Linked DNA regions of Xenopus tropicalis. The protein of the gene in region 5 purifies or fractionates together with the protein of the main gene of each other region. This does not show direct contact. Links are inferred from orthologs where the notes say so. Each region holds a gene or a part of one and is shown on either strand. Other genes may lie near its edges. The genes, in order: c1qbp, llgl1, llgl2, pard6g, prkcz, nipsnap2 and csnk2b.

What was found.
Region 1: the proteins of prkcz (region 5) and c1qbp purify together in Homo sapiens (affinity purification with mass spectrometry; 5 studies listed by BioGRID and IntAct, with this or other methods). This does not show direct contact. The link is inferred for Xenopus tropicalis from reciprocal best matches to the Homo sapiens genes PRKCZ and C1QBP.
Region 2: the proteins of prkcz (region 5) and llgl1 purify together in Homo sapiens (affinity purification with mass spectrometry; 6 studies listed by BioGRID and IntAct, counting the BioPlex papers as one, with this or other methods). This does not show direct contact. The link is inferred for Xenopus tropicalis from reciprocal best matches to the Homo sapiens genes PRKCZ and LLGL1.
Region 3: the proteins of prkcz (region 5) and llgl2 purify together in Homo sapiens (affinity purification with mass spectrometry; 7 studies listed by BioGRID and IntAct, counting the BioPlex papers as one, with this or other methods). This does not show direct contact. The link is inferred for Xenopus tropicalis from reciprocal best matches to the Homo sapiens genes PRKCZ and LLGL2.
Region 4: the proteins of prkcz (region 5) and pard6g purify together in Homo sapiens (affinity purification with mass spectrometry; 6 studies listed by BioGRID and IntAct, counting the BioPlex papers as one, with this or other methods). This does not show direct contact. The link is inferred for Xenopus tropicalis from reciprocal best matches to the Homo sapiens genes PRKCZ and PARD6G.
Region 6: the proteins of prkcz (region 5) and nipsnap2 purify together in Homo sapiens (affinity purification with mass spectrometry; 3 studies listed by BioGRID and IntAct, counting the BioPlex papers as one, with this or other methods). This does not show direct contact. The link is inferred for Xenopus tropicalis from reciprocal best matches to the Homo sapiens genes PRKCZ and NIPSNAP2.
Region 7: the proteins of prkcz (region 5) and csnk2b purify together in Homo sapiens (affinity purification with western blotting; 3 studies listed by BioGRID and IntAct, with this or other methods). This does not show direct contact. The link is inferred for Xenopus tropicalis from reciprocal best matches to the Homo sapiens genes PRKCZ and CSNK2B.

What each region holds. Positions count from the first base shown.
Region 1 is NC_030678.2:105,098,247-105,102,437, reverse strand, and holds the start of c1qbp (complement component 1 Q subcomponent-binding protein, mitochondrial), read left to right. Parts: upstream 1-1,391; 5' UTR 1,392-1,516; coding exon 1,517-1,727; intron 1,728-2,626; coding exon 2,627-2,777; intron 2,778-4,156; coding exon 4,157-4,191.
Region 2 is NC_030685.2:15,997,226-16,000,725, forward strand, and holds part of llgl1 (lethal(2) giant larvae protein homolog 1), read right to left. Parts: intron 3,448-3,500; coding exon 3,294-3,447; intron 3,205-3,293; coding exon 3,051-3,204; intron 2,816-3,050; coding exon 2,532-2,815; intron 1,193-2,531; coding exon 928-1,192; intron 812-927; coding exon 697-811; intron 490-696; coding exon 401-489; intron 284-400; coding exon 160-283; intron 1-159. UniProt on the Homo sapiens protein: Cortical cytoskeleton protein found in a complex involved in maintaining cell polarity and epithelial integrity. Involved in the regulation of mitotic spindle orientation, proliferation, differentiation and tissue organization of neuroepithelial cells.
Region 3 is NC_030686.2:44,579,306-44,582,312, reverse strand, and holds part of llgl2 (LLGL scribble cell polarity complex component 2), read right to left. Parts: intron 2,971-3,007; coding exon 2,866-2,970; intron 2,770-2,865; coding exon 2,477-2,769; intron 2,393-2,476; coding exon 2,254-2,392; intron 1,894-2,253; coding exon 1,743-1,893; intron 1,621-1,742; coding exon 1,504-1,620; intron 1,045-1,503; coding exon 878-1,044; intron 788-877; coding exon 523-787; intron 397-522; coding exon 243-396; intron 78-242; coding exon 52-77; intron 1-51. UniProt on the Homo sapiens protein: Part of a complex with GPSM2/LGN, PRKCI/aPKC and PARD6B/Par-6, which may ensure the correct organization and orientation of bipolar spindles for normal cell division.
Region 4 is NC_030682.2:96,284,769-96,288,268, reverse strand, and holds part of pard6g (partitioning defective 6 homolog gamma), read left to right. Parts: intron 1-388; coding exon 389-611; intron 612-3,500. UniProt on the Homo sapiens protein: Adapter protein involved in asymmetrical cell division and cell polarization processes. May play a role in the formation of epithelial tight junctions. The PARD6-PARD3 complex links GTP-bound Rho small GTPases to atypical protein kinase C proteins.
Region 5 is NC_030683.2:91,512,102-91,516,176, forward strand, and holds the start of prkcz (protein kinase C zeta type), read right to left. Parts: upstream 2,801-4,075; 5' UTR 2,441-2,800; intron 1-2,440. UniProt on the Homo sapiens protein: Calcium- and diacylglycerol-independent serine/threonine-protein kinase that functions in phosphatidylinositol 3-kinase (PI3K) pathway and mitogen-activated protein (MAP) kinase cascade, and is involved in NF-kappa-B activation, mitogenic signaling, cell proliferation, cell polarity, inflammatory response and maintenance of long-term potentiation (LTP).
Region 6 is NC_030678.2:98,148,833-98,152,332, reverse strand, and holds part of nipsnap2 (protein NipSnap homolog 2), read left to right. Parts: intron 1-2,161; coding exon 2,162-2,301; intron 2,302-3,500. UniProt on the Homo sapiens protein: Protein involved in mitophagy by facilitating recruitment of the autophagy machinery required for clearance of damaged mitochondria.
Region 7 is NC_030684.2:74,724,673-74,728,777, reverse strand, and holds the start of csnk2b (casein kinase II subunit beta), read right to left. Parts: upstream 2,801-4,105; 5' UTR 2,700-2,800; intron 1,625-2,699; 5' UTR 1,617-1,624; coding exon 1,545-1,616; intron 243-1,544; coding exon 140-242; intron 1-139. UniProt on the Homo sapiens protein: Regulatory subunit of casein kinase II/CK2.

The DNA.
Region 1 (4,191 bases), on a different chromosome or scaffold from region 5:
TCAGAAACTTGTGACATAAGTGCCTCAAAACTAAACTTTAGATGGCCATACACTATAACAGGAATCCCCAAACTTTTTTTTATCCAGGAGCCACATTCAAATGCAAAGTGTTGGTGAGCCACACAAGCATGAAAAAAGTTCTTTGGGGATGCCAAATAAGGACTGCTATTGGCTATTTGGTAGCCCCATGTGGACTGAAAGCCTGCAGGAGCCTTTGGTTGGAGTAAAACTTTAAGGCCACTGGGAGCAACATCAAAGGGGTCGGTGAGCAACATGTTGCTTACGAGCCACAGGTTGCAGATCACTGCACTAAGGTGGGCAATATTGGGCTAATTCTATCATTATATATCATTAAATTACAATGAAAAGACTAGAAGTCGTCAGAGCAAGGGCCACAGTGACAAGCCAATGTGGTCTTCAATCCCACAGTAAATTTAAACCAGCCCGATTTCACTGGCACATAAGGCCCCCCCTAAACCAGAGGGCCCACTTTTATGTTATCTTATCAATTTTTAAAAAAAAAAAAGTAATTTTAGTTTGAAAAATGACATTATTATTATTAACATTTATTTATAAAGCGCCAACATATTCCGCAGCGCTGTACAATAAGTGGGTTTTATACAGTGGAGATACAAAGTAAAATATGAAGCAATCAATAACTGATACAACAGGTGAAGAGGGCCCTGCCCAAAAGAGCTTACAATCTACAAATACATGGTGCTGTTCCAATATTTTGCTAAAGTGTCCGTAAAGTGTAGTAAGAGGAATGTACACTGGCTTTACAACCAGGAGCCATATTAGGATATATACCTCAAAGGCAGCTGCTTACAGACGGGAGCTGTTTGTTTGTTCAGGTAGAAGGAGAGCTTTGAACAAACAACCATGTTTAGAAGAAAAGAGCGGCTTATTTGAGTAAAAATAACCCAAATTTCAAAGTCATACTTTATAACTGCAAAAAATAAGATTTTTATTTTTTTTTAAACTGAAACAATATGCAGAATGCCATTTCAGCTCGAGTCCTATTTATTGTATTTATTTTCAGCCAAGGTGTTTTCAGGTGTACACAGTGGGGCAGAATATGCACGCCAACATCAGCAGTGATGTTGCCCCTAGCAACCAATCAGAGCTTTGCTTTTGTTCTCTAACTACTACTTTAGCTACTGATTGGTTGCTACAGGGTAACATCTCCGGTAATGTTGGCTTACACAAAACTATAATAAATATGACCCTTCAGAAGTACAAGCATTGTGTTTCTCCAAGCTGCCAGTCTATGTGACCAGTAAACCACTGGATTCTAATTTCTCATTTCAAGCGTTACAATACAACGTCTATATACAACAAAGGTTTCTCTTCCGAACGTATTCCTTACAGACAGAAGCAATCAACAGCGACCTCTGCGTGTAGCCAAGGAGACCTTGACGACACTTCCTGTGCTCCGCCTCCTTTTCGGGAGGTGAAAGGTCAGGGGTGTCACGGTGTCCTCTTGTCACACACACACGTGGGTATCTGCAGGACCATGTTCTCCACACTGTCCCGAGCTCTCTTATCCGCCACACGGGTAGCGGCCGTACGGCCCCAACAGCTGCTGAGCTCTTTGTGCACCGGACGATCCTTCTCACGCTCATTATGTTTGCTCGGGGGGAATCCGGGGCTCAGGCAGACTTTCCTGCATCCTCAACGTGGCTTCCCGGCCGTGTCCTGTGGCTGTGGGGGACTGCACACTGAGGGTAAGTGCTCTCCTGGCCCTTACATTAGTGCGCTATGTAAGGCAGGGTTTTGGTACCATTCCACAACTAAACTGTGAGCTCTTCGGGACATGGATGTACATTTTTTGTCTGTTCTTCGCGTCTGCCTCCCAGACATTTGTATGCCTACATCCACATACTGAAAATGCTTGTTTTTCTTAATGCTTGTTTCGATATCAGATTATAATATAAATGTTTTTTAAATCATTTTATTTCATGAATATGAGATTCATTATATATGAAAAATAACCTTTCTGTAAATTGTTTTGAATCAAGTAATTCTTCACTAGAGCTTTCTCAAGTATGCAGGCTTTGTGTCATATTTTGGACATATTTTTTACATTGTCGGGTCAGTGTTTCCTTTGCCTAGATGGTATTTTACATTAAATTATCCTAAAATACTATGGGACCAGATAAAGCAGGAATATGCACATTACAAATATTTTATTGTGTCATTGTTGAGATGTGAAATGATTTATTAGTGTAATTCCTGAATGATGTTGCATGTGTGACTTTCAGAGTTGTAAGTCATCCCCAATGGAACCAAAACTGTTTTATATACTACCTTAGTGCTCATTCCAAACAAGATACTGCAAACAGTATAACATGAATAAAAATGTAAGATATAGACATATAAGTTATCGGCAAGTACAATATATTCACTTTATTACAAAAAAAAATTACATTTGCAGGATACGTTTGCTATGTCCCGTTTTCTCAAAGAAAATAAAGACTTAATTCTTAAAAGTAGTATAGAATGTGTAATAGGTGTGCATGATCAAGTTGTTTCTTTAGAAGTCTGAAAGCTGATGCACAGTTTTGAAAAATAAGCTTCAAATCCCCCCTAAAATGTGTTGATTTATTTTTTATATTTATTGTAGGTGACAAGGCATTTGCTGAATTTCTCAAAGATGAAATCAAAGAAGAGAGAAAGATCCAGAAACATAAGAACCTTCCCAAAATGTCTGGTGGGTGGGAATTAGACATCAATGGCACAGAGGCTAAACTGGTCAGAAAAATATCAGGTGAAAAGTAAGTGTACTAATGATGGTTGCCTATATCCTAGCATATAGTTAAATGATATGATGAATCTGCCACTTGAGATAAAAATTATATTGTCCTCTTAAGTAAGCCTTATTTTTTTAATCCCCTAAAATTACTCTAAACAGCCCCCAGAATAACACACGTTTTAACCATGAAAATTGATTTTGTTTTTGTATTACAAGCAGCTGCATCTCCTTTACTGACTTGCTTGTCTAATGTGAAGCTCTGCCCTGTTTAGCTTTCTAAGCTCTCCTCTCTTCCACTATGAAGACCTTAAAGAGGTGCTTACTGGGCATGCTCACTGCCTCTGCACACAATAAAATCAATCAGGCATGAGGTCATAGTCGGAGAGAGGAGTGCTCCGAAAGCAAAAAGGGGAGGGGGCTTCCCCCTAGACAAGGAGGTCATTAAAAATGCTGTAGTTGAACTGACTGTAATAGGGAAACTAAAATTTGGATGAGAGAAAGGTATGTTGTTCTGGGGGCTGTACAGAGTTTTAAAAAAAAAAACCTACTTATTTTGACTTGTTCTTTTACTGACCCAATTCATCTTCCTGGGTTGATGTAGAGGCATTTTGTTAAGAAACATATTCTTGCTTCAGTGATTAAACATTGGACCTCAGATATAAGTGCAGTAGAATACGATTGTAATGTATTCACATTAAGCACAAAACCAGAATAATCTGCTATACATGCTCATGTATAGTCCACTAATATTTTAAGACAAGACAAGGAATTCAGGGGAAACATTATCATAATACCTGATTTATGATTCTTAATTTTACCTTTGCAATAGGCAGTAACAAATGAGAATGAAAATTAAATTGGAAGGAAAAGGCATAATCACTGAGGGGTGTCAAAATATAAGTGATTATTGGTGCAAGTTGACTATATTCCTGGATGGCCAAGTTGCTCCTATTCCTTCTTGGTTTACATTGCATTGTGGGGATGAGGTGATGTTCTCGTAGGCAAGATGTTAACATTTGTCCTCCAGCCTATCAGAACATTGTCCCTTCCCCAAGTGTGCTGTCACTCATGAAGATGTTTAACTTCAAGCCATGCAAGTTAGTAAGGGATGAGCTGGAGGAGGCAGGTGGGCACATACATTACAAAAGAATAACAGCACTAGGGTTTATATATTCCTGTTAAAACCTGGAATGTGCCTCTATCCCATTAAGACTTATTTTCTGGGAGTCTGAAAATATATTAAGTGTAGTGACAGCTTATAGATTACCAGCTAACCATTTAATGGCCAAATACATCAATATAATCAGCATGGTGGGTAGACTGGTGAAATCCTATGTAAACATATTGAAGTAGCATCAGTTATAATTACTTAAGCTTGGAAAATATATTTTGTCTTATTAGGATTGCAGTTACTTTCAACACAAACAATAGCATTC
Region 2 (3,500 bases), on a different chromosome or scaffold from region 5:
ATTGCACTGATAAGCACCGCCTTAAAACAAACTCTTCCTTCTCTGTAAGCCTGAGACACAGACAACACACCCTGCAATGGATCCTGCCCACCCCGTGGAACTGCAATGCTCATACTACTATGGCAGCCATCATTTCGGAGCGGCCCCCACAAGGCTCACCCCAGTATATCCCTCACGTCCTCCACCGTTATGTCTCCCGTGGTGTCCAGAGTGGTATCCATGCTGTTCATCGGCGAGTCGAGAGGAGAGGGCGAGAATTCTGCCATACGCTCACACCCGTTCCCTGCATGAGAGAAGTGAGGCGTTTCATGAGAATCTTTAAGGACCAACAGACTTTAAATATCCCCCTTTTGCATTGGCCTCACAGTATAGTTATATATGATTGGTTACAGCTCACTACCTTCTGTTGCCTGCTGGCTCGCTTCAGAGTCCCTCAGTATGTGCGTCCCATTGGCCTGGTTGCCCTTCGGAGATGGAGTCATCTTATTGCTGCGACAGAAAAGTTATAATCAGCATCTACAGCCAATCCTGGCCACGGACCCTCCCACGGAATACCAGCAAACCCTGACCAATGAAGCAACTAGAAAGCTTCTGGCCCATGGAAGGAAACTTGCCTGTAGTTTAACCAGACCAGTGTAGTGCTGGGCAGCAATGGCAACCCCTGTGCCACCAAGGGCAACTGCGGAGCCCTCTTACCTGAAGTGTAATGGATCGTGGGGCCGATCAAACTCCACCAGACACACGGGTTCTGTGATGTTCTTGGCACTCAGAGAAAAGCGTTCAAACTCCGAGGGGGAGATCAGGTAAAAGCCTGGGGGTCAGCAAAGAACCGCCATTAGGTCTGGTTACAGGGATATGCCACTTATGTCCTTCAGCCATGACTGTTCTACATCTGCCAATCAGGTTACCCCTCTGCCTTGGCCTCACCTTGCCCGTACTTGGTGAATACGCAGGAGGCGATGCCACTGATGTCCTCCTTCCGTATGCAGTCGTAGCGCACTTGAGGCCGCAGCCCCGGCACAGTGAACACGTGGATGTCCCCCAGATTGGTCAAGCACGCCAAACAGTTCTCGGAGTAGTCGTCGGAAGTGGCACTGGTGAAGGTGGCGAGGGCGACTTTCCTCACGCGGCAGCCCTCGTGGGCAGTCAGCTTAAACTTTGTCTTGGCACTGACCTTGGGCAACGTGAATACCTGGCGAGCGCAGAAGGTAAAAAAAATATAAACCAGGGTTTTCCTCTTAGTTACTTTCCCGATGCCATAATGTTGTGCATTGCAAGTTACAGGTACATTACACCCACCTGTGCACCAGCACCCAAGTAACCAAGTCACTACATAGTTAGCACATACAAACCCACACTGACCTATCTATCCACTCACATACAAACCCACACTGACCTATCCATCCACTCACATACAGACCCACACTGACCTATCCATCCACTCACATACAAACCCACACTGACCTATCTATCCACTCACATACAGACCCACACTGACCTATCTATCCACTCACATACAGACCCACACTGACCTATCTATCCACTCACATACAGACCCACACTGACCTATCTATCCACTCGCATACAGACCCACACTGACCTATCTATCCACTCCCATACAGACCCACACTGACCTATCTATCCACTCCCATACAGACCCACACTGACCTATCTATCCACTCCCATACAGACCCACACTGACCTATCTATCCCCTCACATACATAAACCATATATACCATAATACTATACCCGCCTGTGTACCAGAGTAACTAAGTTGCCAGTACAATATTATACCCGTGTGTGTGTGTGTGTGTGTGTGTGTGTGTGTGTGTGTGTGTGTGTGTGTGTGTGTGTGTACTGCTGTGGGAAGCTCATTTCCGCTGAATCACAGCCCGCGCCACTTCCTTCCTATAACAAAGCAGCAGCTGCTCAGAATGTAAGGCAAGGCTGCAGTGAGGCAAAGCACTGCCAATAATGAAGCAGAATGCTCCAAGCAGCCAGTCTGCCCCATTTGCACCAACCCAGTTATCCAGCTTGGTCTTTTCAGGTCAGGTTTCCTTTGTTTGGTTGGAGTAAAGGAGGGTTGTACAAGGTACAAATTTGGGTTACTTTATTTTTTAAAGGAGACACAAACCCCCAGCTGTCCGAATTAGACACCCCAAACGTAGATGCAACTCTCCCTACTCCCATCTGAGGTGATTCTGGTTCTGGACAGCAGGTAGTAATCTGACGCAAACACAGCAGTTTTACCAGTGCAGGCCAATGGTACATTATATTCTAATTACTTTTATTTTTTGGGGGTTACTGTTCCTTTAGGGTTAAGGCACACAGAGCTATTCTATTGTCTATGGCAGGGGATTTTCTAGAGTGTAGTAGCCGTGAAAAAGTAGCTGCTCAGTGTGTCTTCACCCTTAAGCAATCTGGCCAATCAGCCCACAGGCCACTAGAGCAGTGCAGTTCTGCCGGTCACAGCGCACCATGAAGCCCATGTGGTGCCAGCAGGGCAAATGCAGCTTCATCCAAAACTGACCTTAAACTGTTCCTCGGAAGAGATGAGCACCGAGTGGGTCCCTTGCATGTCCGGGGCTTTGGCCAAATCCTGGGAAACCTCAAAGGGCTCAGGCAGGGGGTTTCCCCGCCCGTCCAGCACTGCGATGGACACTACCGGGGCCCGATGCATGAGCTGGATCTCCTTGCCCAACACAGCCTCTGCCGAGCGGTCCGATAACTTCTCCCTCGAAGGCACCTCTAAAGCGTACGCAAATACAGAGCCGGAATTGGTGCCTGCCCACATGGTGGGGCCGTGATGGATCGCTAAATAACAAAAATGGGTGTTTAGTCTGACAGTGAAAGACAGGAGCACCCAACACTTCCACACCACAATCTGATTGGCTCGTGGGGTGACTTGATGGAGTAGAAGAGGATCGATACTAGTACCAGGGTTCATGTTCCAGACCCCATCCCCAATATATGAACCATTGCCTAAATCCACTGACAGGCAACTATGGGGGAGAATTTGTACGGTGCACGATGAGCCTTAATTCCTTACCGTCCCGTAGGAAAGTGTCTGCAAAATACAAGCAACGCACGACACCCGACAGGGAATCATCGGCCGAGCGGGGCTCAATCCTTCTCTGCACGGGGGCAATGTCAAGGTCATGTGGCCCAGCTTGTTCCGCCAGCTGAGCGTTGGCCTCCTGTAGCTAATAGCAACAAAGAAACAGTAGCAGTTTTATAAGCCGATTAGCCCAAATTTCACCAATATGCACATTTTTCATTAACTGCTCCTTACCCTGCTGGGGGGGCTGCCTGTGTTTGGCCTTTTCTTCCCAGAGACCCTGCTCTTCCGTATCCTGCGGAACGACTGCCGTAGGGACTTCTTCAGGGACTTCACCCTGGATAAGGGACCCTCCATAGCGAGCGAGTCATTGGGGTGCAGAGTGCACCTAGAGAAAGACGACATTTCAGCCCCACTTCCAGGCAAATCACACAGAGTGAT
Region 3 (3,007 bases), on a different chromosome or scaffold from region 5:
TGATTTGTCCTTTAAGCAATACGCTTTAGAGAATGCCAGACTGGCCCCTACCTCCTGTGTGGTCCGTCCCAGAAGACCTGCACACAAAGAAAGGAAAACTCTGGTTAATTGGGAAATGGTTCAGTCCGTGTCCCAGCGCATACACAATCAATACACGGCCCAATAGCTGGTGGGACCACAGGCAGGATAATGTTCACGCCTGCTGTTGATTCGTTGGGGGGACCACCCCACTTGACACCCACCTGGACCTGTCAGTTGGTTGGTCAGTGCTGCCCCCCCGCCGTAGCCGCGAGTTACGAGGGGGCTCCGGAGGATCCACTCTGGCACGGGGAGCCACCAACCAGCATGTGGATAGCGAAAACCGTTCCAACTCAGAGGGGGAGATTAGATAAAACCCTTTGAAAATAGTGATGAAATAGTGGGTTAGGAAAGGGCAAGTAGATCAGGTAGCCACAGAATCCCCCACATATAGTTTCCATACCCACTGCTTAGCCAGCGCGGGGGGCCACCCAATGTACTCACCCTGCCCGTGTTTGGTGAAGACACAGGAGGCGATGCCGCTCACATCTTCCTTGCGGATGCAGTCGTACCGGACTTGTGGCTTCAGATGGGGCAGTGACACCACCTGAATATCCCCCAGGTTGGTAAGAATGGTCAGGTGGTTCTCGCTGTGCTCCTCCGACTTGCAGCTACCGTAGGTGCACACCGTCATCTTGCGCACGCGGCAGCCGTCCGTGGCCGTCAGTTTTAGCTTCAGTTTGCTGCTCACTTTGGGCAGAGTAAAGACCTGCAGACAAACAGATGCCATTAGTCACTCACCCCCCCATAAATGGATACTATGGCACCCCTTATCCGAGGCCCCGAACCAAAGCTGCACCTTAAACTGCTCCTCGGAAGTGACCAATAGCTGGTGGCTGCCTTGCATGTCGGGGCTCTTGGAGAGATCGTGAGCTGCCTCTAAGGGTTCTGGGAGAGGAACGCTGTGACCGTCCAGAACCAGGATCCCCACAACCGGAGCCCGGTGCATGAGTTGGATTTCCTTAGCTGCAATAAAAGATCCATTACTGACAATCTGCCCCTGAAAGGGGATCTACACCCAAAAAAGGTAATTCAAATTCACTTTCCAACCTAAATTCAAAGCTATTTGTAACTGCAATTGCTGTGGCAGTGTCTGTCTGTCTGTATTCTCTGCACTGCTGGCTCTGACTCCTGAAGCAATGTAGCAGAAGCCAGCTGACTGACAGATGAGGAGAACTAACTTTTGTTACATTGTTTCAGGAGTCAGAACCAGGGAACAGAAAGGGATGCACAAATACTGCTTTGCAACTGCAATTACATGTACAAATAACTTTGAAACCAAAATGTTTTTCCATTTTATAATGGGAAGTTGCTTAGAATGACATTTTCTTTCATTCTGCAAAACAGTTTGTGGGTGGATAACCCCCAAGACCAGCAACCATCATGACAAGCGAGGGCCAAGGAAACGAATTTCTGCTCACTCACCCTGCGTTGCCGCCACTGCCTCTTCCATTCGGCGCTCTGTGGGTGGCACCCGCAAAGAGAACGCATACACTGTGCCGCCATTTGTCCCCGCCCAGAGGGAAGGCGTGTGCCTAGAGCCTGGCAAGAGAGATTGGCATTAGTAAGAACAGTTGAAAAGAAGTTCAGAACTAATGAAAACCCAGGTCCCAAGATTATGTCCCATCTATGGTGCGAAGCCAGCACCCTCTAGGGTAACTCACTGTCCCTCAGGTAGGTGTCGGCAAAGTACAATGTGCGCACGAATCCGGTGAAGGAATCCTCAGCCGAGCGGGCCTCTATCCGCCTCTGCACGGGGGCCAGTTCCATCTCTTGCAGAGCTTCCTGCTCAAATCGAGCATTGGCCTCTTGCACCTATCAGGGAACAGAGATGGGGCATAAAGCAAAGAGTCCCTTGTATCTTCCCAAACCACGAGTTGCCTGGGATTCCCTGGTTATTAACGCAATGGTATAGTCATAGGCAACCCATATCCTCAGTCTAGCCTGGGTCAGGAACATAGAACTCTTACACTCAAACATACTGTATAGAGCAGAACATAATCCTATGGCTCTTTAAAAAGGCAGAAGGTGATTGGAACCCTTTATTGCCCTATGTTTTGGGGTACCCATCCCACAAGGCTGAATCTCCGTGATTCAGAAATGTGGGGCAACCCTGGAGCTGGTGGGGAGCAAAACAGAGCTTAGTTACCCGCCCTCACAAAAGTGCCAGCTCACCCTATCAGGCCCTGGTCTTCTCTTGTTGACTTGACTCCTCCTAATGCGGCGGAATGACTGACGCAAAGATTTCTTCAGAGATTTAACCCGTGACAGGGGACCCTCCAACGCCATTTGGTCACTGGCATGTAACGTGCACCTGTGAGCAAAGACACAGTTGAGCTAATCTTGACCTACTAGCCCAGCTCTGTGCTCTTTTTTTTTTAATTTTTTTATCACTTACTTGGCCATTACTTGGCGCTTCTGCTGAAAGTCGTACAAGCCGAAGCCATGGCTGGTACCAAAGGCCAACAGCCGCCACTCAGAGTGCAGGGCCAGGGAAGTAACAGCAGCAGGGGGCTGGCACTGCACCAGGGCAAATGGCTGGAACCCCGGTGGAAAGCGGACAGGGTCCTCCCGAGCATGGAGCCGTTCGTGGCCCTTCCAGCGGTAGCCTTCTTGTTCCTGAAGGAGGTCTACTAAGGTCTCGTCCACCACATGCTCTGCAGCTTCATCATTCAGCTCCATAACCAGAACCTGATCAGGGGTGAGATACATTGTCATAAGGGAACCCCTGGCAGTAGGAACTTAATTGCACAAAGCTGGTGGCACCGTAAGCTCCTCCTCACTGACCTGTCCAGCCGTGCCAGCCACAGAGAGGTAACCACTGTATTTGCACATGTAAATCTTCTGTATGCCCAGCCTGGGGTCATCACTGTAAGGGTCAAAGGAGCCAACCTGCAAAAGGGAAAAGAGATATAGAAGAGAGAACCCA
Region 4 (3,500 bases), on a different chromosome or scaffold from region 5:
GATTTTACCCACCTTGTTCTTCGTGAAACAGAAAGTACTGCTTTTATTCTAGCTCCCTTTTTAGGAAGCTTTGATGCTGTATGGAAAGGGCATTTAAAGAGAAAAAAAATCTTTGCTAAGTTTAAGGTCAGTGGAAATCTGTCATGTCCTAAAAAAGTCACTGGCTGGTGATAACCAGTGTGTGTTGTCTATAGCCCAAGTTTGAAGTGTTTCTCTTCCAGATCAAGACTAGTCTTCACTGCCATAACATTACAAAAAGCATCCAGGCTGCTGTTCAAAATTGTACTTTTTAATAAGTCCATGTTTAATTCTAACATTTACAAAAGAAATGTGTCTAGTTATTTATTCTGTTCTGAAACTTTTTTTTGTTGTTGTTGTTCTTTTGCAGTATGGGGCCGAGTTTAGAAGGTTCTCTCTTAACCGCTACAAACCAGGAACATTTGATGAGTTCTACAACCTTATTCTTCACATTCATCACATCTCCAGCATGGACGTCATGCTTGGGTATGCGGATGTTCATGGAGACCTTCTCCCTATTAACAACAATGAAAATTTCTTCAAAGCTGTTTCTAGTGCAAACCCACTCCTCCGAGTATTTATTCAAAAGCAAGGTAATGTACGGATTCCATATAATTTTAGTATAGTGGATAAAAAATATATATTTAACTTTGAATATTATTAGGATACTACCGACATGGTAGATTCTCAGCCTGCAAACAAACACAGGCGGAGAATCTGCCCCTACGCTCTGAAATGCTTCTCGATGTGCCTGCACCTATTGTGTTGGCCCGGGGCAGGCACACAGAGTGGATTTTAGCGGTAAGCAACATTCTGCTGGAAACTTTGAGGGTATTGTTGTAGTGGCCTTTTAGGTCAGCTGTTCTGCTGAATGAATATTCTACTTGTGAGACCTGACTCATAGCTGGGCTGGTTCATTGCTCAGGTACCTTGAGGTGTCGCGGAGACACCCATGTATAATAATCATGCATAAAGTAACCGCGCACCAGATAATTTACTGATTTTATATTCTCCAATCACAATTAAGTCCTTGCTTCTACCAGTACTTTTTTAAATATTGTCAATTACATTCGAGATTTTCTGCAGATAGAAGCAATATGTTCATATAGCAGATGTTATTTAAGTGTCTGTAAAACGGGAAATTATCAATAAGGTGATAATTATAAATATAAGTAAGTCTATAAGTCTATATTTTGAGCAGTGCCCAAGATCAGACCAAGCTGAGTCCTAAGATGGATAAAACTGGGCAGATAATAGTCAGTTGGTCAAACTGGCAAATGTGCGAATAATCCAAAATTGGATCAGAATCTGTATGCAAATATATTTCAAAGTGGACATATTGGTAAAATCCAATCAGCCAATGAGCTCATCAGCATAAGTATACATTTAGAGATCAAAAGGATTATTTGAGGCAAGATGTACCTATCTTTAGTCATTATGTCCAGTACTTATACTGTGCTCACTCAAAAATTGTACTCTGTGTCATATGGTATGTAATCCACATCCAGTTGTATAATATTTTTAGGTTATTGTTTTTTTTGCTTTTAATGATTAATACCAGTACCAGCTTTATACTGCATGAAAAACGTTTCCCATAAATTTTGCCATTGTCTTTTTTATCTTTAACCCCTTTTGTTGTTTCCTTAAAAAGTCCCCATTTTATAAAGGGATCTATAACTTTTTGGCTTCCAAAAAAGGCTGTAAATTGCAGTAAATGTTGTTGAGAGAGACATTTCTGTTGAGAGCTGATTCTTGGTTGTAAATATAAAGTTTTATAGGTGCTTAATAGTTAAGGCTAAAAAATGGCACACACCCATTCAGCCTTTTGTTTCATATAACAGTTGGAAAACCTTTTGTGTGCAGTTTTATATGCAATAAAAAAGATGTTGCAGTCAGGGTAGATTAATACATTATTGATTGACTTGCCAGTTTACTGTTTGACCGCAAACACCTGATTGGTTGTTGTGGGTTACAGGTTCTGGAAGGAACTGTACCTGTTATCAAACTGACCATAGTTTTGCATCAGTGCATTTTATATTGTGCTGTTTATACTCGAGGCTGATGCAACAGTGTGCAGTGAATATAATAATGTCTTCATAAAAAAGCAGGTTTTTGGTTTTTTTTTATTTGAAAAAAGTACCACCCTCAAGCTAATATTAAAAGTGTTCAACACACAAAGTTTGCAATTTAATAAACAGCAGAATAAACATTATTGCCATTGCAGAATACAAGTATTTATTATTTTGTATTCTGTTATGCCATTTATTATACTGCGCCTTAAGAAAATATGAAGCTTGTGAACTTCAGTTGCGCAGTGTGCCTGAAGTAGAGAACAATGCCAGTCTTTCGTCTATTTCTCCCAAATCTCCTTTCTCCAACTTTTATGGCTAATGGGGTAAGGGGCACTTTCAGACAATTGAAAAGTACCTTAAATTGTTTAGTGCTCTTCAACCTAAAGGTGCTCACCAGACACAGCGTATTCTTGAGAAGCCAAAAAACACTTGCACAAATATGCCCCAAAGCTTGAAAAAACTTCTACTTTTGCCTGCACTGGGAAGCATTCAATATGCTCAGGTGCAGGCACATGTAGCTGTGCCCGAACGTATTCAGTGCTTCCCGGTGCAGGGACAGGTTTTTTCTAAGCGTAGGGGTCATGGAACTAATGGCAAACGTAAAACGTTTGCTGGGAATATGCTCCTGGGCTGCAGAAATCTTCTACTTGTGCCTGTACCCGGAAGCATTGAATGCACTCTAGTGCAGACACAAGCACCATATTTCTGCCTGAAAATGTTTGCATATGCAGTTTAAGGCAGAAATACACTCCATGTGCCTGCACCATAGTGTATTCAGTGTTTCCGGGTGCTGGCGCAGGTAGGAGATATTTACAGTAGCGGGGCGTATTCTTGCTGAGAATATGCAACGTGTGGCATTAGCCTTAGCGCAGATAAAATACCGCTTACACATCTGATGCATCTCATATCTCCATTCACCCTTTGATGCCTGTCAGTTAGTGTGTGCAATCTTTTTATGCAAAAATACAATGATAAAAAGTACATTATCTGTAAAGTGGATTTTTTCTTATATAATACGCAAATAAATCTAAACTAGCCTATCATCGGTAGCTTGCCAAGAGTAAGCAAATGCTTAGCAAATTCTTGTAAACTTGCCAACTCTTTTCTCATCCTCCTGTGCAGAGTAAAGTAGGTTTAGCTGTCCGTATGTTATCACCTTTTATTTACTGCTATATATTCTGTGCCAGAAGAGAAATGACGGGTGGAAGCTAATAGTGATTGTCCCCCTGTGAGACCCTGGCAGCGAGTGGGAGCTATGATGTGTCTGTGACTGGGCATTGTACCATAGTTCCCATATTCATTTGCTTTTTCTGGCTGCACATAATCAACAGACAAAGGTCAACAAGCAGCTTTACCATTATTTCCCCTCTTGCAATGGCTTTTTCTTTTGCTTTCTTATTTCAGATCAAT
Region 5 (4,075 bases):
GCCCCATACATGGGCTGAAAACTTGTGTATAAACATGAACGACTAGCTTAACTTGTAATAGACTTATCAGATCTAATTCCTGATTGACTGCTCTTGGCAAATTAGCTCCTATGTTAGTATATAAGACTCAAAGTAGTAGATCATTTTTTAATTAGTAGGTTATAGATTAGCCTATTCTTAGCAACTTTTTAATTGGTCTTAAATTATACCTTCTAGTTCTGCCTGTTAGACAGCAGTAGGCTACTACAATCTGCAATTGCTTTTCTTTTTTTTTTAATTTAGCTTTTGTTTAGCAGCACTTCAGAATTTAAGCAGCAACATGTTTCTGTAGTGTTGCTAAAGTAAATTGAAAGCTAGCAACCATAAGGCAATAGAAAGACTGAGAGACAAACAGGAGTGGGCCCCACAGAGCAAAGGGGATTTTGGCTGCTAGAGTCTCTACCTCCATTTGAAAGCTGGGAAGGAGCAAAAAAGCTACAGCTACTAACCGGCCTCCCTAACTCCAATCTCTGCCCCCTACAGTCTATATTAAATACTGCTGCCAGAGTTCACCTCCTCTCATCCAGGAGAGTTCAGGCCCTCCCCCTGCTAAAGCCCTTATTGTGGCTTCCTATTAAACAAATAATATCTTACAAACTCCTTCTCTTAACCTTCAAAGCCCTCCATTCCTCTGCTCCTCACTACATCTCTTCCCTTGTGTCTCCGTACGTTCCCGGCCAACTCCTTCGTTCCTCGCAGAGCAATCGTTTGGCTGTGTCCCCCACTACTTCCTCAACAGGAATTGGATCCAGCCAAATCCACGTGTCTGGCCAAACCTAATCTGTATCCTTAAAATCACGTGACTTTTTGTCACAAACATAGAAGTTGAAAATTTTTCACCAAATACAGTTCTCTTTAGCCCCTGCATGGCCTAATTTTCATATGCAAATAATTATTCAGATCGGATTAGCGAGGTTGCCAATTGAGCGGATCTTCTCCCGATATCCCTACCTACAGGTGGGCGATATCGGGCTAATTCGAATTAGATTGGCGGGTATATGCGCAGTTGGTTTGGGGACCGGATTAACAAGCTGATGCAGTCCCCAATCCAACTGAAAAATCAAACCTGCCTGAATGAGATCTGGACGATTTCATGCAAGATGTTGGTCAGGCAGACCCGTCATTTGTGCCCACACACAGGCCGGTCTAAAGGACCAATATCAGCAGCTAGAATCGGTCCATGTATGGCCACCTTTACTTTAAAAACATACAGGGCTCATTAAACCATCCATAGATGTAAAAGAGCTTGGATAACATCATATGTGAAGCATACATGTATAAATCTTCCTTAATCATACACCCAGAGCCAAATAATTATTAATAATATAATCTAATATTTAATAACAAACAACTTACATATTGTTAGAATAAAAACAGTCTCTGCATAATTTGCAAATCACCTTAAACTGTTTATATTAAATACATTTTTATACCACAGCGTTTTTCAACCACTGTTCCGCGGCACACTAGTGTGCCGCGAGATGTTTCCTGGTGTGCCGTAGTACCAATGTACTAGGGGGGCACTGCTCTTGGCACCAATGTACTAGGGGGGCACTGCTGCTGGGCACCAATGTACTAGGGGGGCACTGCTCTTGGCACCAATGTACTAGGGGGCACTGCTGCTGGGCACCAATGTACTAGGGGGGCACTGCTGCTGGGCACAGAGTTAAATTTTTTAACATTTTCTAATGGTGGTGTGCCTTGTGATTTTTTTCATGAAACAAGTGTGCCTTTGCCCAAAAAAGGTTGAAAAACACTGTTATACCACATTCAGAATGTAAAAGGCAACCTGCCAATTGTCTAATGTGTGATGCGGAAGGAAATAGAGGCACTCTATGTGAGTAACTAAGCAATCAGTAGCTAGTTATTAATCAGTACCCTAACCAGTTACACAGCATTCACAGTGACATAGGACAACAATATCTGTTGCATTACTCTTTTACTGTGAACTTCTTCAGCCTCCATAATAAACACAGAATGAGCTTTCCCAGAGGTGAATTGCTTTCAGCATGAAACTTGGTCACAAAAAGCTTGTATTATATGGGAAATAAATATTCATTGTGAGTATGAGAACTTCCCCTTCACAACTGTTGTCACCACTCTGGGGCACAATCATTGCAGTGTTACTGGTACTAAAGTGCTTTACAGCAGCTCTAATCCGGCCTCTACAGGAATTCAACAATCACTAGGTAACTTCAGCAGGTGATGGAAAAGCTGAACTGCAGCTCCCAACCAGTGCTGTCATTTTAGCTCCCTACAGGAAGCCAGGTGATCTCTATTTAAAGAAACAGTAAAGAAATAATGATGATGATGATGATGATGGGAGCTAGGAAGCTAGGACACCGGACACTTGATACACACACGTATAGAAAGAAAATACCTGAGTCAGCCTGTCCCTTACCTGCAATACTGATACACACACTTCCTTTTAGCTCGGCTTCTCCACTGAGCCCGATCAGCTACTCCCGGCCGTAACTCCAGCCGATATCCCCACCCCCCGGTGTAACACGGAATCGGAGGACGAACATTACGGAGCCGAGAGGGAGGAGATACAGGAGGCGTCACTGGACAGCGGATACGAGAGGGTTAATAAGTACCAGCTCGTCTAACCCTGTCACAGTGCAACAACTCCAAGCATCCCCTCACACCTGCGCACACTGACCCGCCTCTTTAGTTGCCAAATTCCTGGCGCTACCAAACAGTTGCCTGTCAGCGCCGCTGGCAAACAACTCCCCGGCTAAAACTCAAGAGTCTCTCCTTGCGAAGCACTTCGGACTCTCGAAACATGGCGGAGTAAACTGGGTGTTAGTGGCAGCCAATAGCAGAGCTCTCCGATAGCTCTCCAGCAAATCGCGTGCTCGTATTGAAAATACAGTGTCCAATTACACAGGCCGGCCAAAGGTTAGCTGTCCAATGCAAGACGAATGTTAATTACCTGCCGCAGGACTCAAGGGATTAACCAATAGGGACAAAGGAGATTACACCTGCAGCCAGTCATACACTGGGAAAGGGAAGCAAGGCTATAAACCTGTAACTGAGTAACAGGATGGATTGTAGGGAGCTGTCACTATTCTGAAGGAATGTGCGCGTTTATTGTTGAGTCACAGTGCATTGCTGATTGTGGAATTCACCTGTTGTAATAAAACATTACCTGGGCGTGTACAAAAAGGAGCGCTAGTGTGAAAATATGCATGACCATTAGTAATTATACAATAAAAGAACGGAAACGCTGTAAATAGTCACTGAGATGCTCTTGGCTGGCAGGTTGCTCTGCGAAACTCAATTTCGTTTCTTAAACGTCGTGATAAGTGTGCGTGTAAAGGTTTTAACAGCTGCTCACTAGTATTAACAACATTATAAAATGGTTCCAACTATAACCAAAATATTGGAGGTTAGACTCCTAACAAAGGGCCAAACTTGTCTCTGTGGTATTCTGTTCTTTCCATGCCTAATTGCCTATTATGATGCTAAAACTTATAGCGTTCGATATAGTAAATGGCAGTTCTTAGTATATCTTTCCTGTATGATTCACATGGAAAAGTATCTGTGAGGAAGTAAGTGCTCTAAAGGTGTTATAGTGTAGAGTGCAGTAGCCTTATTATTAATATTAATAAAGTGCATAACATTGTTCAGGAAAAAACCAGTAATCCATAGAGAAGGAAAGTGCTTGTGCCTGGTATTTATTCTGAATGTGCTAAATTCAAATAACATTTTCAAATTCAAGTTAATATGCAATGTTTTGAAAAAATGCCGGATTGAGGTTGAGTTTGGTAGAGTTAAAGAAAATTTACACTTTAGTAAATATGCTTCCATATGTCTTATAACTCTTCAAGTTACCTGTGTGGCATTGATTTGTCATCTACGCATCTACATTAAAATTTGGTGAAACAGGTTAGTGACCACTCCGAGGAAACATTATTTTTATTGGATAGAGCTAATCACTGATGCATTGCTATGTGTTACTGCCTACATAAATATTTGTCCAGTGTTTAGTACATAAGCTCAGGTGAGTTTTGTGGCACACTATAAAGCAGGG
Region 6 (3,500 bases), on a different chromosome or scaffold from region 5:
TACAGCTTGAAAGTGCCCTAAATACAGGGTCGAACTGGGCCGTTGGGACACCGGGAAAAAACCTGGTGGGCCCCGATGGCCCAGACCCGACCCGACCCTTGCTGGCACTTCCCCTGCCCGACTGTTCCTCCCCTGACACGTTAAATGTATGCACGCTCAGGGTGGACGTGGGGTGGGGGCCCCTGGGGGGGTTAAAATGAGGTCTGTTACAAGTTAAAAAAATAAAAAGGAAAGACCTGCTTAGTTGCTGTTGGCAAATCCAGTTGTGCAAAATAGCATCTAAGCTAGTAAACAAGACTTTTAATATTTCCCCAGATTTGTGTTATAGGTCACTTTAAACTACAGCTTGAAAGTGCCCTAAATACAGGGTCGAACTGGGCTGCTGGGACACCTGGAAAAAACCTGGTGGGCCCCGGTGGCCCAGACCCGACCCTTGCTGGCACTTCCCCTGCCCGACTGTTCCTCCCCTGACACGTTAAATGTATGCACGCTCAGGGTGGACGTGGGGTGGGGACCCCTGGGGGGGGTTAAGGGACACGGCCGGCGGGGGCACCTGGAGGGCCCCTGGGGCAGGGGCCCCGGTGGGCCCTGCACCCTCCAGTCCGACCCTGCCCAAATAGCATAATTAAACCACAGAAATATAAAGTTTAATAGTAAAGAAAATTAGGGTCAAGGTAATGCCACCCATAACTTTTTCAGGTGCTTTCACTGCAGCCCATAAATTTGGTGTTAAATTGAGAAAACAATGCAACTGCATGACAAGCATTTGTTCAGGATGAACAAATATGGGGGTAGAAGTACAGCAATTTTACTATCATGTTCAGATGTTAAAAAGATAACAGGTTCTCCATCACTATATACTACAGCAGTGACAATATTGTGCTACATAGACATCCTTACTGGGGAATGAAGAAACATTTAGCTTGGGCAGTATGCCAAGGCCTTGCGAGTAGAATAGTCGTGTAGGCCTATAGCCTAATAGTGGGTTTATAGAGATTACTTCTATAATGATTAGAAGTTATAAGCCAGCCTTGCCTGCTGCCAGAAGGTTTTGCAATAGGAAAAAACATCCCATTGTATTTAAGGTAAAAACTGTTATGTGCAATTGTGAAGCAGTAAGAAGGTAATGCTAAGAACAAGCAAAAAAGAAGAAATGAGCGTGCTTCTCATATAAATAGAAGTCAAACTGACCTAGTCTTACTTTTGGTTATGAGAAATCATAAGATACGATGTCTGATAGCTAAAAGCACAAAAGAAAAAGAAAAACAGTGATCGGGTAGTATAGTGGCAACCATGGAATTCAAAATGCCTGGTAGTCCATACAATTTTTAAGAGAACATTGCCTCAGACAGCATTTTACCAGGGGTGGCAAATAGCCACATTTCTGTGTTTTTCTGGGTTATTGTGTCTCAGTTATATAACAATGTATTATCTCTAAAGTGCTCCATCCTGTACTCCAGCAATAATCCATGAAAACAAGACTTATGGTGCAACAAACTCTATACAAGTTGTAAATCATGTGGAGTGAAAATATATTGAAAAACATTACACTGTGCTCAAGATTGTTTACTGCAGGCAAAGGGAGCTTATATAATAATTTAGTCCTTTTATGGCTTTCTTTTACTAAGGTTGCAGACATCACTGAAGAGAATGGTAGATTCTTCTATGCTGTTTTTCTGTCGCTCTGGTTAGAATAGTCTCTGGCACACAGTTTGAAGGACATTCTGCATGTGCCGGTCACCTGTTACTACAGACACATTCCCTAGAGCTATTTAAAGATGCAGTTAAATTCGCCTTCAGTCCATTTTTCATAAGGGAAATGTCACCCCATAAAGGGTAATAAATTACAAATTACAGGAATCTCCCTCAGACTCTATTTTAAACAAATAATTACATTTTTTTTTTAAATTCCCTTTTCTCTGTAATAATACAACAGTACCTTGTACTTTATCCCTACTAAGCAAGAATTGAGAATGTTGAAGATTGTAAAGCATTTATGTTTATATAGTTATAGTGTGGGGAGATAGACTTAGGCCAGGTGTATTATATTGTATATAGTAATATAAACTCAACGTGCTGCAAGAGCTGTATAACTTGGTCCTTTTGCCATGTCCATTTTAAATCTTGCTTCCCAGCTCTTACTGATATATTGTTATTACAGGGGTCTTGCATCATCGAGTCAGAAAGCCAGAGAAGACAGCTGGTTGCGATCACTCTTTGTTCGTAAAGTCGATCCACGGAAGGATGCTCACTCAAACCTTCTGGCCAAAAAGGAGATCAGTAACCTGTACAAAATTCAGTGTAATTATTACCACTTCTCAGTTACTAGAGCATACATGAAGAGAAGAAAATACTTTCATACAGAAAACCTCTAAGCTGGTATTCCTAAATGTTTTTTGTGATCTACTAAACAGAGGGCAGTTCTAGTGTAGCCTTTCAGACTTTCAGTGGGATGTTTAACCATTTTGGTTAACATCTTTTTTCCTGCAATTACATAGTTATTTTATGATTAATAGAACACCCTCTTCTCATGCAGTGTATTTGGAGTATGGATAATCCCATAAGAGGCAGATATATATATTGATCTATATATTTTGATCTATATAGTTCTGGTACAGGTGCAGTGCACTTCCCTTTCAGTTGAAGGAAACTTGCTCTCAGAAAGTCCCCAAACACTACCCATGGAACCAGAGCTATAAGACTGGACTGAAGTGTGAGATGTTGGTAGAAATGTTAGTGAAGGATTTGGTGATTATTGTTTTATGTATTATGGCTTATATATACTGCAGACTCCAGTCTACCTTCAGTAGCAGTATTCTTCACTGGCATCCAGGCCACACTACAGTTAGGATGAAGGACCAAAGTCTTTAATGTGAACAGACCTTTACAAATTAGGAAAATAAGATATTTACATAGCATCTTGGTTTTATGCGGCAAATTATTTACAATCTTTATATTGCCTGAAAGAAGCTTTTATATTGTATATTGATCAAGCCACTTTCTAGTTAATATTTTCATGTATGGCATGAATGGTCTTTCCTTCTTCTTGTTAATTATTAGCAAAACTTCACTATCCTCATATAATTTTGTGTGCTTTATGCATTGATTTATGACAAATATTTGTTTTAAATTATGATATGACTCACTAATGTAACAGCACTACTGCCATATTTTCCATAATGGTACACATGGAGTTTGCACATATTTATCACCTCATTAATGAAAAACCCAGAGAACAAAAGGCCAGGAAGTCTGAAGTAGTTAGCATCAGTAAGGGTTATGTTAGCAACATTGATATTAAAGGAAGACCCACAGAGAATGACTGCAAGGAATCAGAGTGCAGTCAAGCACCTTTTTGTTTGATGTGTGGCCAGCAGTAGACATCAGGAAACAGCAAATCCTAAATAGCAAGTAAGCGTCATGTTCAACATTATGTGATGTATGTGTGATTTAATCTTTCAATATGGCTATGGCCTCACTTCTGGGTTGATTTTGACCTT
Region 7 (4,105 bases), on a different chromosome or scaffold from region 5:
GGCTCGCCATTTCTGACTGGTGAAGGCAACTGTAAAGTACAGCTGGATATAACCAGTTCTAATAAAAAGATAATGTTTACTATGCCTATGATGGCATGCATATTAAGTTAGCTGAAGTCACAATGGGAGATATTCTCACCAGGTTCAAGGTCCAGTATCATGTCCAGTGCCTGTCTATAGTGAGGGACCTGCTCATTGAGTCCTGTCAAGTTAAACTTATCCTGGATATAGTCTTCATCCACCTAAAAAAGAAAGTATGTCAGCAAAGCAACATCTTTAGAAAACCAGATGTAATATTTAATAGGCTGCCCCTCAAAGGACATGTAAATACCTGTGATTCTGGTTGTTCAAAGGTATTGTAAGGCTATTGTAAGGCTGCAGCAGCCCCTTGATAACTTGGGATTCCTTCTCCTCCTCTAACCTACTCTTCCTTCGGAAATGACTTTGGCTGTTGGCTACTGGGCATGCTTAGCTCTTAATTCAAATTACCAAACACACCCTCCAGTCTAGCAGCCAATGAAGAGAGGTCATCACTGGTTTTCATAAAAACACTGCTCTAGCTGTGCACACTGCTAGAGAAATATGCTTATGTGTCAGAGGGAAACTGATGGGTAAAAGCTCCTATTTGTTTTAGAAAAATATGTGAACAAAGGCGATATATGCAGTACATATGGTTCAGTTGGTGTGAGGAAGATGTGTCCAACCTTTATGGTAGGAAAATAAAGGGTTTACATGTCCTTTAATGCAACGACTGGCATTTTGTCACCTGCATTTTGTTGTGGCGACAAAATGGTGAAAAATTCCTTTCCATTGCAGACAATATTAAATGCCAAAGATAAAACACAATGTAATTGCACAAAAATGGCTTCTTAATTATTTTTGTACAATTATACAATGTAAGTGTTCTACCTGCAGTAACTGCAAATGGAGAGGTAATTCTGCTGGAAATGAAAAGGTGGAACAGTCAAATCTTGACTGAGCTGAAAGGCAAGCGGGTAGGAATAAATCCTTACAGCTGATTAAATAAAAAGCACTATTAAAAGGGGAAATAAAGTCAAAATCTTAACCGAGTGTTTATATATAGCCCTAAGATAGGAAAGCACTATAACAAATGTTGTTCTATATAAATCAGACGGCAAAGCTAACTGTAGCTCATTTTAGGGGAATAGCAAAAGATGCAAAATACAAAGGCTTCTATTTAAAAAATGATAGTTAATTTTTAATGGGTTTATATTGCAAATGTATTTAATTTGGTCTAAACAACACACACAAGCATTATGATTTTTGACTATACAAAGCAGTGCCGAGATACATTTTTCAGAAAGAGGAGTAATTTTCTTTTCAGGAGGGGTGTGAGATAAGAGAGGCTGAAAGAACATCAGCAAGAATAAAACAGCAGTAGGAGGTAGTATTTTTTTTCTATATGATGAAGTGGAGTGTTTTTTACAGCTATTTATTTCACTAACCTGGTAGGTTTCTGTCAGTGATTTTGTGATTAACAGTTATTATTTCTCTCAAAGAAAAGATCTTTAAGTAAGACTCACCTCACAGAAAAATTCATTGCCTCTTAAACCACAAAACCAGCTAATCCAGGACACCTCCTCTGAGCTGCTCATTTTCTAGCCTGAGGAACAAAAAGAAAAGCTTTTATACAAGGAAAATGAGAGTAACTCAATAAAAAACATAGTATTGGGTCAAAATATGTATAAACGAATTAAAGAAAATTAAACAAAACTAACACAGCAATGTTAATGAGAGGCAGCAAAAAAAAAAACTGGAGCGCGTGAATTAAGCTATGGATATTACGCTAAGGTCGAGGCAAAATAAAATATAAAAAAGGGAACAAATGGGGTGCTGTAAAATCAGATGACAGAAATAAGATGTAATATGAAAGGTACAAGTGGGGTACAGACAGACAAGGGACAATAGCTATGGTTCCATATAATTAGGGAGACAAGATGTGGGCACTGTAAGGTCTACTGGAGGGAATAGGGAACAAACAAAGCACAGAATTTTTTAAATAAAGAGTCAGCAATCAAAATAAGCCCACAGTGCAGCAGGAGACTAAGTTACTGAGATGGCCAGGTTATAACATTCCCCCAACAAAGCACGAATACCCCCACCCCAAAACACGAACACTAGCATTTCTAGGAAAGATCAGCAGAGGAAAACATCTCAGATCTCCCTTTTTACCACCATTACTGCCACATTTTGGCTGTGCTGGGCACGTCTGGCGCCGGATCCCCTGTACTAAGCTGGGAATAGACTGCAGCAATATGGGCTCCCCGGAGCAGCCGCCTGCGCCCTCGCCCAGGAACCCGAAGCCATAAGCCTTCAGAATGGGCGCACACTGCGGCTTCAACAACTACTGCGACAAGAGGAATAAGGCGCCCCCAACAACATCAAATGATGCGGGGAAATCCGCAATGTTGCTTATAGCAAAGTACAAGAAAATACACAGCAGTCTCATAGTCTATCTGGAACGAAACAACGGAAGTTGTGTTCCGCTCTGCCTCACGTATAGATAGGCCCGAAAGGGTTAGGGGGAAGCCAGGCGGGGTGATGTAAGGCCCGGGTCTATAGCTCGACAATTCCGGTCCAAACAAACGCGTTAAAACATAGGACACAGCCAAGATACAATGGGAGATTAGGAGAAAAGAACCGGAATACACAAGGCGGGCTTTACCCCAAACACTCACCTCCAAGGGACCGCTGCTTGCCGTATATTTGGAGGCTTTGAACCGGCAAAATTTCACCGCAGCGCACTAGGCCCGGTCCCCTTAGTGCGCAAGCGCATTAGAAACCAGAAGCAAAAAGACCGGAAGTAATTCTTTCTGATTGAATCGCGGGAAATGTAGTCATATAGATAAAACTCTACACCGGATGCGATTCGTTTGTGAGAGGAGACGTGGATAACTAATACGTGACTAATGTAATTTTGTATATTTTTGTAGATGTAGGCGCATGCGAGGCTTTTTTAGTTACGTTATGGAGTAGTGTAGTCATTAAAAGAACCATCCTGGATTTTCACAAAGTGGCAGTGAAGTTTGCAGTAGTACCTGCTTAAAGCTAGTGTACATGGCATTGCTGGATGTTTAAGCAAACTCATAGGGCACAGTGAGCCACGTCTGGATGATTGAATCATAGCTTATTGGTTTGTGATGATCATTATGTGCTTGTACAGTTACCATCAGGAAATGACTGAATCAACACTCCAGGCAACTTTGGCTGGATGCGATTTTTAAACCTGACAAATAGGGTTGCCACCTTTTTGGAGAAAAATACAAGCTTCCCTGTTTTTTTTTAACCTTTTTTCCTATTAACATCAGCATCAGGGAACCGGCCAGGCTGGTAAAATAGCAGGCAGATGGCAACCCTGGTGCCAAATCATTCCCTGACCCTGTGTCATACAGATATTGACTGGGCAGAAACCCCTTATATGTCATAAGAGACGCCCTGTCCATACCTCCCAACATTAAAAAAAAATGAAAAGAGGGACAAAAAGATTTTTTGACCACGCCCACTTTGTGTGGCCACGCCCCAATTGCCACTCCCCATTTTTAAAAAAAATACTCCTTTTATATATATATGAAATGGCGGGATCAGACGCAAATGTGCTATACCCTCATACTGTACTACCTAAAGAAAAACAATATAGCAACTCCTACATATAAAATACAAATATAGAGAGAAGGCAGTCAGTTATAAGTGAGTTATAACTATGTACCAGTTTTGCCCCCCCCATACACAGTGCCCCCATACACAGTAGCCCCCCATACACAGTAGCCCCCCCATACACAGATGCCCCCCATACAGAGTAGACCCTCCCACAGTGTCCCCCACACAGTGTCCCCCATACACAGTAGCCCCCCCATACACAGGTGCCCCCCCCATACAGAGTAGCCCCCCCATACACAGTATCCCCCCCCACACAGTGTCCCCCATACACAGTAGCCCCTATACACTGCTGCATAGTTTTTTGATACTATGGGGCACATTTATTATGACAGGTCCAAATACGAAAAATACATATTTTTTCTAAAGTTTACAACTTTTTTGTACTTTGCGACAATTTGCACAACAATTTGTGCGACAAAATCGTATT